Linked DNA regions of Arabidopsis thaliana. The protein of the gene in region 2 interacts with the protein of the main gene of each other region in a pairwise test. Each region holds a gene or a part of one and is shown on either strand. Other genes may lie near its edges.

Region 1 (5,080 bases), on a different chromosome or scaffold from region 2:
TTTTCTATTATTATATTATTAAACCAAATATTATTTTTAATATTTAATATTTTTAATTTATTGATTAATACAAATTACAATCTATATATCAAAATAGCTTTAAATTTTGTAAGTTTATATTTTCAATGGTTAATTGAATTTTATTATGTAATTTCAATAAATCTTTTGTTATAATTTTTATATCTTCTACTGATTAATATTTCATAATCATATTATCAAAATTAAAAATACATAAATAGTTTTGATATTTTTTTTTTTTACTTACAAAATTCAATTAAATTATTAGATGACAATACAAATCATATTTAATATGCTATACCTAAATAAGCTATATTCATATGTAATAATTTTAAAGTAAAAAAAAATATATATTTAATTTTACCGTTGCTACAGTAGCACGCCAAATATAGTGGAGTACTGTACAAAATAAAGGAATCACACTATTATAGTGTAATATTTACAGTTGGGTTGGAGTGAAAAAGTATATTGCATCACATCAAAATACAGTTTTACCGTTACGTTGGAGATGGCCTAAGTATAGTAATTAGAATAAGTATGCTTTTTTTGTGTGTGTGACAACAATTAGAATAAGTATGCTATTCTTTGACATTTATACCATCTGTTACCCAACCAATAAAAATATTCGTACCACTGCTAAATAGAACACATCTTTGATTCCAAGTTTCTTATAACGTACAACACAATTTGTGTGTTTGTCTACACATGCCTTTTATTATCCGACACTAATAAATATTTTGTAGTAGTACTATCCACATTCCACACTTGCCTTTATCTCTATATATTTGTGTAGTACTATCAACATTCCACACTTGCCTTATTCTCTCTATATATGGTGTACTTAAGTATATATATCAACTAACACACGTTGTGTAATATGTCTAATTTTGTGTTTATATGACTTCAATAACACTACAAGTTAACGAAGGACTCAATTCGTCCTACTCCGACCACAATAGTTGGGACCCAAATTAGTTGAAACAATATATTTCATCTTTATCAAAGTAATTTTTAAATTCCATGTAGAAGTTATTCACAACCAATAATAAACCACATTATATGTTACAAATTTTAACATTTTTATACGTATTTGCGATTACATGTAGGTTATCTACAATTTTTGGTTATCTATGATTTCTATAATGTAATTAGGTTATTGATCCTTTTTTTTTTACTGTGTCTTAGTCTTACTGGATGTGAATACTATAGCAGAATTAATTTTAATTTAAAACATTTTAAATTGATTTTTGGTATTGGAATATTGTAATATAGCGTTGACGGGGACAGTGAACTAAGCACATACGTGTGCATTTTTCTTTAAAGAAATATCAATATTGTGCAACGATCGAACCGGATTAATACCACAATGTTCTTTTACCTCAAACAGTAGTGAATTAATGTTGGACATGAATTTAGAAATCCCGTTTCAATAGCATTTGAATAAGCTAAGTAGTGATCTTACACTAACATATATTAATAAGCTAAGCACTTTAATATTTCAGGTTTGATCCGACTTTTTCTTGCACTAACGATACTGCCTTAATTCAATCTTTGTTTACGTATGCACATCAAAATTATTTAAAAAAAACATTCAGATGTTCGACAGAAAAAAAAACCCCAAAAGAAAAAACTAAAGGAGGCATGATATTTACCAAATGCCAAACACAATTGAATATCCTTCAAAACAAGACTTTTCGATTTCGTGTCCTCCAAATAAAAATCAAAGACTTTTCTTTAGTTTATAAACCCCAAAAAGAGATCAACAACGAATTTTCTTACGGCCATAAATGCTTCTACATTAACAAACAAACAAGATCTCTATGCTTATATTCATTGACTATTCACATTTTTATATAATTGAAAGAAATAAACTTTATGCCAAAAACAGCTCTATCATTATCTCATGGGGTGATTTTGATAATAATAAAATAATAAAACATTCCACCAAACCCAATCTTTGTAAAACTATGAAACAGCTGTTCTGTTCTGATTCGTACTTGCTTCATCAACCTTTTTGTAATCAAAAGCTAAATCGTATAATCACAAATCCCTCAGAAACTGTTCGTTTTTTGTTATCGTTTACGCGTTTTTAATCGCTAATCAGTTATATAAAAAATCGACGAAAGGTTTGACGAATCGTCGTCGTCGTAAATCCCCACCGGGTCAATCGACTCGTTTACTTTTCTACGGTCTTCTCTCCTCAAAGAGTCTCTCTCTCTCTCTCTGATATTTCCGCAGCAATAATGGTATAGATAGAGATACAGAAGCAGACAAATTATTGCTGCTTGAAATTCTCTTGTCTGATTAAAATATATATACCCAAGTCCAGAAGCTGTTTAGGTTCGAGAAGCAGAGAGGGTTCGAGAAGCTAATAAGGGTTTCTTCTTTTTGATTTTAATGCTAAAAGGGTTCTAGATTCGTTGAATTTTACAAGGGTTTTAGGGGTTCTTAGAAGCTTTTGCTTGATTGTCTTTTATTTAGAAACAGTGGTGAGTTTTTAGTCTTTCACTTTGTTCAAGTTCGAAGCTTTTTTTGGAGGGAATTTTGGGCTTCTGATTTTGATCGAAACTTACTGATAGTAAGTTCTTTGAGTCCTCCTTAACTGTAGTTTCTGTGTACTGAAGTTATTGAATTGAAAGTTTTTATCTTTTTTGGTTATTGAAACTTTCATAGTTTGATCAAAAGAGTCTCTTGCTCTGTTTTTGGCTCTGTTTTTGTGAGTGTGATTGTAAGCTTTGTTGTGAGTAGATTGAATCAAGGAGTGTGAGAGTTGTTAAAAGTGTTTTCAGAGATGGATGAGAATAATCATGGAGTTTCATCAAGCTCACTTCCACCTTTCCTCACCAAAACATATGAGATGGTTGATGATTCTTCATCCGATTCTATCGTCTCTTGGAGTCAGAGCAATAAGAGTTTCATCGTTTGGAATCCGCCGGAGTTTTCTAGAGATCTTCTTCCGAGATTCTTCAAGCACAATAACTTCTCTAGCTTTATCCGCCAGCTTAACACATATGTAAGTGTTTTCATGCTTTGTTTAAAAGTATTGACTAAATCAATCATCTTCTTAGTGGAATTTGTTTTTGTGTGTAGGGTTTTAGAAAAGCTGATCCTGAGCAATGGGAATTTGCGAATGATGATTTTGTGAGAGGTCAACCTCATCTTATGAAGAACATTCATAGACGCAAACCAGTTCATAGCCACTCTTTACCGAATCTTCAAGCTCAGTTAAACCCGTTGACGGATTCAGAACGAGTGAGAATGAATAATCAGATTGAGAGATTGACAAAAGAGAAAGAAGGATTGCTTGAAGAGTTACATAAACAAGACGAGGAACGAGAAGTGTTTGAGATGCAAGTGAAAGAACTTAAAGAACGATTACAACACATGGAGAAGCGTCAGAAAACAATGGTTTCGTTTGTTTCTCAAGTATTGGAAAAGCCAGGGCTTGCTTTGAACCTATCGCCGTGTGTTCCCGAAACAAACGAGAGGAAAAGAAGGTTCCCTAGGATCGAGTTCTTTCCCGATGAACCGATGTTGGAAGAGAACAAAACTTGTGTTGTTGTGAGAGAGGAAGGTTCTACAAGCCCTTCTTCACACACAAGAGAGCATCAAGTGGAACAGTTAGAGTCATCGATAGCGATTTGGGAGAATCTTGTATCGGATTCTTGTGAGAGTATGTTACAATCAAGAAGTATGATGACACTTGATGTGGATGAATCATCTACTTTTCCAGAGAGCCCTCCTCTTTCTTGCATACAGTTAAGTGTCGATTCACGTCTCAAATCTCCTCCTTCTCCAAGGATCATCGATATGAACTGTGAGCCCGATGGTTCGAAAGAACAGAACACTGTTGCTGCTCCTCCTCCTCCTCCAGTAGCAGGAGCGAATGATGGCTTCTGGCAGCAGTTTTTCTCAGAGAATCCTGGCTCAACCGAGCAACGGGAAGTTCAATTAGAGAGGAAAGACGATAAAGATAAAGCCGGAGTACGTACTGAGAAATGTTGGTGGAATTCGAGAAATGTTAATGCAATTACAGAACAGCTTGGACATCTGACTTCTTCAGAGAGAAGTTGATATGTCAAAGATTAAATTTCTAGTCTGTTTTAGTTACTTGTAAAATAGGGTTTCTCAGTTTTATTGTTTTCGATTACAGTACTTAGGTATGGTTCAGCTGTTTATTTATCACTTGTATGATCTTTCACAGTTCATTGTAGCAGACTTCAATGGTAATGATAAGCTAGAGCTTATGGATAGTATTCATAAAATGAGATTGACCTTCAACAAAATCATAATTTCCAAAGTCCTATATGATGTTGTAGACTTTTATCAGTATACCATTCAATAATTTATGAAGAACACGTCGGAAACAAACAAAGAAAAAAAAAGAAAAGTTACAAGAGACTTATAACGAGTACTATGCCAAATCAAAGAATAATTATTACATCCTTTTTAAGGGATTTTACAGAAAGCAGAAAGCCAAAGAAGCAACTGTTGCACAAACAAAAACATTAAACATAATCTCAAAGAAAACTAATAAATACAAACTTTAATGGTAATGACAAGCTAGAGCTTCTTATGGATATTATTCATAAAATAAGATTGACCTCCAACAAACTCATAATTTGCAGAGTCGAACCTCTTGTTCCTTTACTTCCTTGGCCTTCTTCATTTTCTTTCTCATATCCGACATTTCCTCAATTTGCAACTTAAACAATTCTCCTGCCTCCGCCATTTTTTTCTCTCTGGCATCCTGTTTACGTAGTTGATCATTCTTCTTTTTATCATTGCTTATAATGATTTCCACAAGGTGACGTTGACCCCGGACAAAATTATCATTTGCAAATTCCCATTTCTTTGGATTAATTTTTTTGAAACCCTATAGAAAAAAGAAGATTCAAAGTTAATAAGCAAAACAAAAACTAGCTAAAAGAATATGATTACATCTTACAAAACTAACATATAAGAAACTTACAAATATTTTAAGTTTATAGAAGAAAAAATGTATATGGAGGGTATTGAAGAGTCTACGAAGATGATCTTTGCAAAATTCTTGTGGATTCCA
Region 2 (5,613 bases):
TAATGTAGACGATAAAATCTCTTAAAATGGGCCCGTAAAGCCCAAGCAAAAAAACAATTACTTTAAGTGGAAGCTCACTTTTCGCCACCCTTATTAACGTCTGTCCATACGTCATAACAGATGACGTCATCATCATATTCCTTTTTTCACACGTGGCATTGAAGCACCTTCCTAGTATCTACCCTGAAATTGCTTGACATAAGTAGTAGTTGTTTAATAATCTTTATCTCTTAATTATCCTCTTTTCTTAACAAAAACTTGTTACAATAATTTTCATTTTTATATAAATAACTGACCATTATAACTCTTTCTCTTCTCTTCTTCACTTGCTCTAGTTCTTGGATGCTTTAAACCTCTCTCTCTCTCTCTCTCAATTATTTTTTTTTCTATTTCAAAAACAAAAAAAAATGAATATCTCTCAAAACCCTAGCCCTAATTTTACGTACTTCTCCGATGAAAACTTTATTAATCCGTTTATGGATAACAACGATTTCTCAAATTTGATGTTCTTTGACATAGATGAAGGAGGTAACAATGGATTAATCGAGGAAGAGATCTCATCTCCGACAAGCATCGTTTCGTCGGAGACATTTACCGGGGAAAGCGGCGGATCCGGCAGCGCAACAACGTTGAGTAAAAAGGAATCAACGTGAGTTCCTTTTTAATTATTATTGTTGGCAAGATTCTTAACCAAGCAATTAGTATTTCATTATATATAGTTTTATTCATTAATCTTTTTGATAATAAATATTGTAGTAATAGAGGAAGTAAAGAGAGTGATCAGACGAAGGAGACGGGTCATCGAGTTGCATTTAGAACGAGATCGAAGATTGATGTGATGGATGATGGTTTTAAATGGAGGAAGTATGGCAAGAAATCTGTCAAAAACAACATTAACAAGAGGTAACTTATTCATTTACAAATTACTCATTTGATCTAATTAATATGTTTTACTAGTACTTGTTTTTAACATAACATATGGTTGCTTGATAATTTTCTATAACCATCTTGTAATCCTGTTGTTATAGAATATATAGCCACTAGCTAGCTAGACCATATAGTGATTTGAATACTATTTAATGGACCCGTATTATCTACCAACCCACTTGGAATAAAATTTAGCTTCTATATACATCATGCATGTGTGTTTTGTTTATACAAATATATAAAAGGTTCCTATAGCAAAATTGATTGATTAGTGGTATATGGATCAATGAATCCATGGTTGATAATCAGTCATCGTATAGATTTATTTTGACTCATATATCATAAGAGAAACAAATATAATGAATTCATCATCTAAACATATCACTTTCATTCAAAGCATGGTTTGAAAGCAATTTACACACTCTGTAATTGGTTAATGATATTCTTATATATATACATACATATATATATATATATATATATATATATAACTTGGTGCGATATATTATAAAAGTGATTACAATTTAACATGTGGTGGATGAATTTATAATATAAAGGAATTACTACAAATGCTCAAGTGAAGGTTGCTCGGTGAAGAAGAGGGTAGAGAGAGATGGTGACGATGCAGCTTATGTAATTACAACATATGAAGGAGTCCATAACCATGAGAGTCTCTCTAATGTCTATTACAATGAAATGGTTTTATCTTATGATCATGATAACTGGAACCAACACTCTCTTCTTCGATCTTAATCCAAATCTCTCATCCTCGTTGAGATTGTAAGATACCAACAATATTAATATTATAATCTCAATGCTTTGTATAATTTGATAGGTGTATAATAAAGGAGTTACTTATTTCGTGGTTATAAATGTTTAATGTATGTATATTGCTATGAGTACATTTTGTAGGTCACTGACTCACTAGATATAAAATCTTAAGCGTATATTTATTTAAAAAGTAGTGTTGAATTTTTTTGGGTCACGGTTGTCCAAAATACTGCGATCTGAATCCAATCCTTATTTGATTAGACTCAAGAATGATTTAGAAAAACCTGAATTACTTGTATTCTTATATCCATTATTAAACCGACATTTGACCCGAAATGCGTCAGACTAAGATTGTACCGGGAAGGAAATGTGAAAAAAGCAACTTGTAAAAAAAGCCTGTGTGACAGCTCTGTAACTTGTAAGCGTCAACGAGGTCAACTGTTTCGGTTTAGTTGTTACCGGTAATTTGGTTTATAATGGATTTTGATCGGTGTGATTTATGATCCGGTTTTGGTGCGTTGTGTAGATTGTCCCGAACCGATCTCATCTTCTACCTTTCAACAACTTAAGCAAGGAAACGAAGTCGTTTCATATCTGTTCTTCCGCCCAAATCTCAAACACTAGTAAGTAAATTCGAAGGGAGTCTTGGATCTCTCTGATCTCGATCCAGATTCTCTCTACTTCTCTTATCTTCGATAGAGAAATTTGTATCTTCAGATTTATTCGAGGAGGAAGACGAACCCTACTTGATTGATTTAGGAGGTGGAGAGATCTTTCTGAACAAGTTTGATTCTGTTGGTAATTGATCTGAAATCCTAGGTTTTAGCCGTAGATCTGCTGCTTGTTTCGATCGATTTGGGATACCGTAGGTATTGATTCCATAGAATTTCTCGCTCGAGGAAGGTGAAGAATCTGCCCAGATTCCGGAGATTTTTAGTTAGTCTTGGTGTGCTTGTTGCTTCGGTAATGTTAGATCATAAAAGTCTTCCATTGTGAGGAATCGGAGGTTGCTAAGAGTGTTTGTGGAAGCTGCTTCTTCTGGTATTGGATTAGAATCGGGACTATGGAAGTTGATTGAAACAGTGTTAGTTTTCTTATTTTGATACCTAATCTGCTCTTGTTAAGCAAAAATGAAGTTTTGGAGGGAACGTGAAAGGGAAAATAAGGAGCAGATCTTAGCGCCATTATGTGGGCAAGTTCGAGTGTTGGTAGTTGGTGACTCAGGTACTATAACAAGTTATAGTTTCATGTAGATCGTTAGATTTGATTACCTATTTTATGGTATCAAACCAAGTTAGAAATGTTACCATTCTTTTGTAGTTTTGCTGAATCGGGGTACTTCTGCTAAACCTAGATCATGTGTGACTCAGGAAGATAGATTCTCTGCACTGAATTAGACCATTTGGTTAGGAGTTATTGTTATGTGGTCGTTGAGCTACATCTTTTAGATCAAACCTGAGACTCTAGTTTGTTTAGTCGACAGTGTTTTCCTTAGAGTCTGTCACGTACTGTGTTTGCTTTTGCTCATGATAATTGAGTTAATTTTCATCTCTGAATTTCAAATCTTTTTGGTAGGTGTTGGAAAAACATCACTTGTACACCTCATCAACAAAGGTTCTTCTATTGTTCGCCCACCTCAAACGATTGGATGCACTGTTGGTGTCAAGGTAACTTAAACGTCTCTGTTGTTCTTCAAATGGTTAGGGAACTCAAGTTTCAACCCTTTTTTATTCTTCTCACATTTCAGCACATAACCTACGGGAGTCCAGCTAGTTCTTCAAGTAGCATTCAAGGTGACTCAGAGAGAGATTTCTTTGTTGAACTCTGGGATGTATCAGGGCATGAGAGATACAAAGATTGCCGGTCACTGTTCTATTCACAAATCAATGGTCTCTCCCAACCTATCCACATTGTTGATCCTTATTGTGTCTGAAACAATGTCATAAAGCGAGACATTTCCTATGCAGGAGTTATTTTTGTTCACGATCTCTCTCAAAGAAGAACAAAAACGAGCTTGCAGAAATGGGCATCTGAGGTTGCAGCGACTGGGACTTTTTCAGCTCCTCTTCCCTCGGGAGGTCCCGGTGGTCTTCCTGTTCCATACATTGTAGTTGGCAACAAAGCAGATATTGCTGCAAAAGAAGGAACAAAAGGAAGCAGTGGAAATCTTGTTGATGCAGCTCGTCATTGGGTTGAGAAGCAAGGTTTGCTTCCTTCTTCAAGTGAGGATCTCCCTCTCTTTGAAAGCTTTCCTGGTAATGGCGGTCTCATAGCGGTAAGTAAACCATATTAGTAAGTATTAGCTTCTGTATTAGTATTTAGTGGGTGCTTTTGATTATATGATCTAATGTGGGTTTTTACATAGGCTGCCAAAGAAACCAGATACGATAAGGAAGCTTTGAACAAATTTTTCCGGATGGTTAGTGTCATTACCACACCTTTCTTTTCTTGTCAGATTTCTAAGACACCCTTCCCTAACCGAGAAGAACATTTTCGGAACTTTTACAGTTGATAAGAAGAAGATATTTCTCAGATGAACTGCCAGCAGCTTCACCATGGTCTATTTCGCCGGTTCCAACGTCATCATCGCAACGGTTAGACGAGATTACAAGTGATGATGATCAATTTTACAAGCGAACAAGGTAACAACAATGCTAAAAAGCCAAGTCTTTTTCCTTCTTTGTTGGGTTTGGTCTTTACGGTTGATTGTTGCAGTTTCCATGGAGATCCATACAAGTACAACAACACAATACCACCACTTCCAGCACAACGCAACCTAACTCCGCCTCCCACGCTCTATCCGCAACAACCAGTGTCCACCCCTGATAACTACACCATTCCGAGATACTCTCTTTCCAGTGTACAAGAAACAACCAACAATGGCAGTGCCAGGTCAAAGCGAATGGATATTAACGTCTGAAGTCTCTCATCTCTTGTTAGCTCTTCTCATTCCAAGAAAACTTTATGTTGCTTTTGGATCTCTATTATTCTTTTTGATTCTTCTTTGTAGGTTGGTAAAGTGAATATGTGTGCTTAACCCCTCTTTGATTTGTACATTGTGGGGTTTGATCTTATAGCAAATTCTTTGAATGTTTTTTTTTCTTGGGTTATCATGTATTACACACTGAATGATTACAAAATCACAATAATGTTTGTTATTTTTGTTTACAATCTAATCATATCAGTTTGTATAAATTTCATGTTATTTATGTTTCAAAATCTTCTTCCACATTACAATTATGATAAATTGGAATATTAATTAATTTGAAATAAACCATTTATTCCTTGGAATTAAATGGAGATAGAGTTACAGAGGTACGACAACTTCAGTTCATAGCATCGAGAGAAGGCAAGGAAGGTATGTAACTTTTTCTTGCCCTCGTAGTTCCATTTTCATTGAAACTTCTTCTCTTTGAACCCTCTGGATTCTAGGCTACTACAATCAGCTGAAAAAAACCCTAATTCAGTCTCTCTTTCTCGTCGTGCAAAAACCCTAAACCCTGGGAATTGTGAGATCGATCTCATGTTTCAGTAACTTGTTAAATCTGTACCTCTTTCTGTTGATTTAGATTTAGATTTCTGTTTTCAATTCCGTTTCTGTTCCGAAATTGTTCAAGGTGAAAAATTCAACCTCAAAGGAAAGGTTGGATTTTTAATTTCAATTACGACGATATCAGATTGTTATCTTCCTTAAAAATTCAACCTTTGTTTTGAACTTGTGTTCCAGATCAATTTTGTTTGCAATGCGCAGTGTAAAATTCAAGTCTTAAAGAAGAGAAAAATGGTGGAGGTGTGGTGGTCACTGATAGGAGCAGCAGTGCCTGCACTAATTGCTGGTCAAGCTTGGAGGATAAAGAAGAGACATGGCGAAGAAGAGAGGATCAAGAGTGCTCGAGGAAGAGAGAAAAGCTCTGA

What was found.
Region 1: the proteins of LIP1 (region 2) and HSF A4A interact in binary tests that used the Arabidopsis thaliana proteins (3 or more experiments, as listed by UniProt).

What each region holds. Positions count from the first base shown.
Region 1 is NC_003075.7:10,346,781-10,351,860, reverse strand, and holds HSF A4A (heat shock transcription factor A4A), read left to right. Parts: upstream 1-1,958; 5' UTR 1,959-2,809; coding exon 2,810-3,031; intron 3,032-3,108; coding exon 3,109-4,092; 3' UTR 4,093-4,382; downstream 4,383-5,080. Other genes in the region: AT4G18870 (E2F/DP family winged-helix DNA-binding domain-containing protein), read right to left, coding at 4,634-4,894, 4,991-5,080. UniProt on the Arabidopsis thaliana protein: Transcriptional activator that specifically binds DNA sequence 5'-AGAAnnTTCT-3' known as heat shock promoter elements (HSE).
Region 2 is NC_003076.8:25,908,008-25,913,620, forward strand, and holds LIP1 (Ras-related small GTP-binding family protein), read left to right. Parts: upstream 1-2,007; 5' UTR 2,008-2,116; intron 2,117-2,130; exon of another isoform or gene 2,131-2,224; 5' UTR 2,225-2,739; exon of another isoform or gene 2,740-2,823; 5' UTR 2,824-2,828; coding exon 2,829-2,922; intron 2,923-3,273; coding exon 3,274-3,365; intron 3,366-3,445; coding exon 3,446-3,587; intron 3,588-3,665; coding exon 3,666-3,973; intron 3,974-4,063; coding exon 4,064-4,117; intron 4,118-4,206; coding exon 4,207-4,340; intron 4,341-4,413; coding exon 4,414-4,618; 3' UTR 4,619-4,889; downstream 4,890-5,613. Other genes in the region: WRKY51 (WRKY DNA-binding protein 51), read left to right, coding at 408-649, 757-903, 1,485-1,680; AT5G64816 (thionin-like protein), read left to right, coding at 5,480-5,613. UniProt on the Arabidopsis thaliana protein: Functional small GTPase that acts as a negative factor controlling the light-dependent period shortening of circadian rhythms and light-induced phase resetting during the subjective night. May protect the clock from excessive or mistimed light.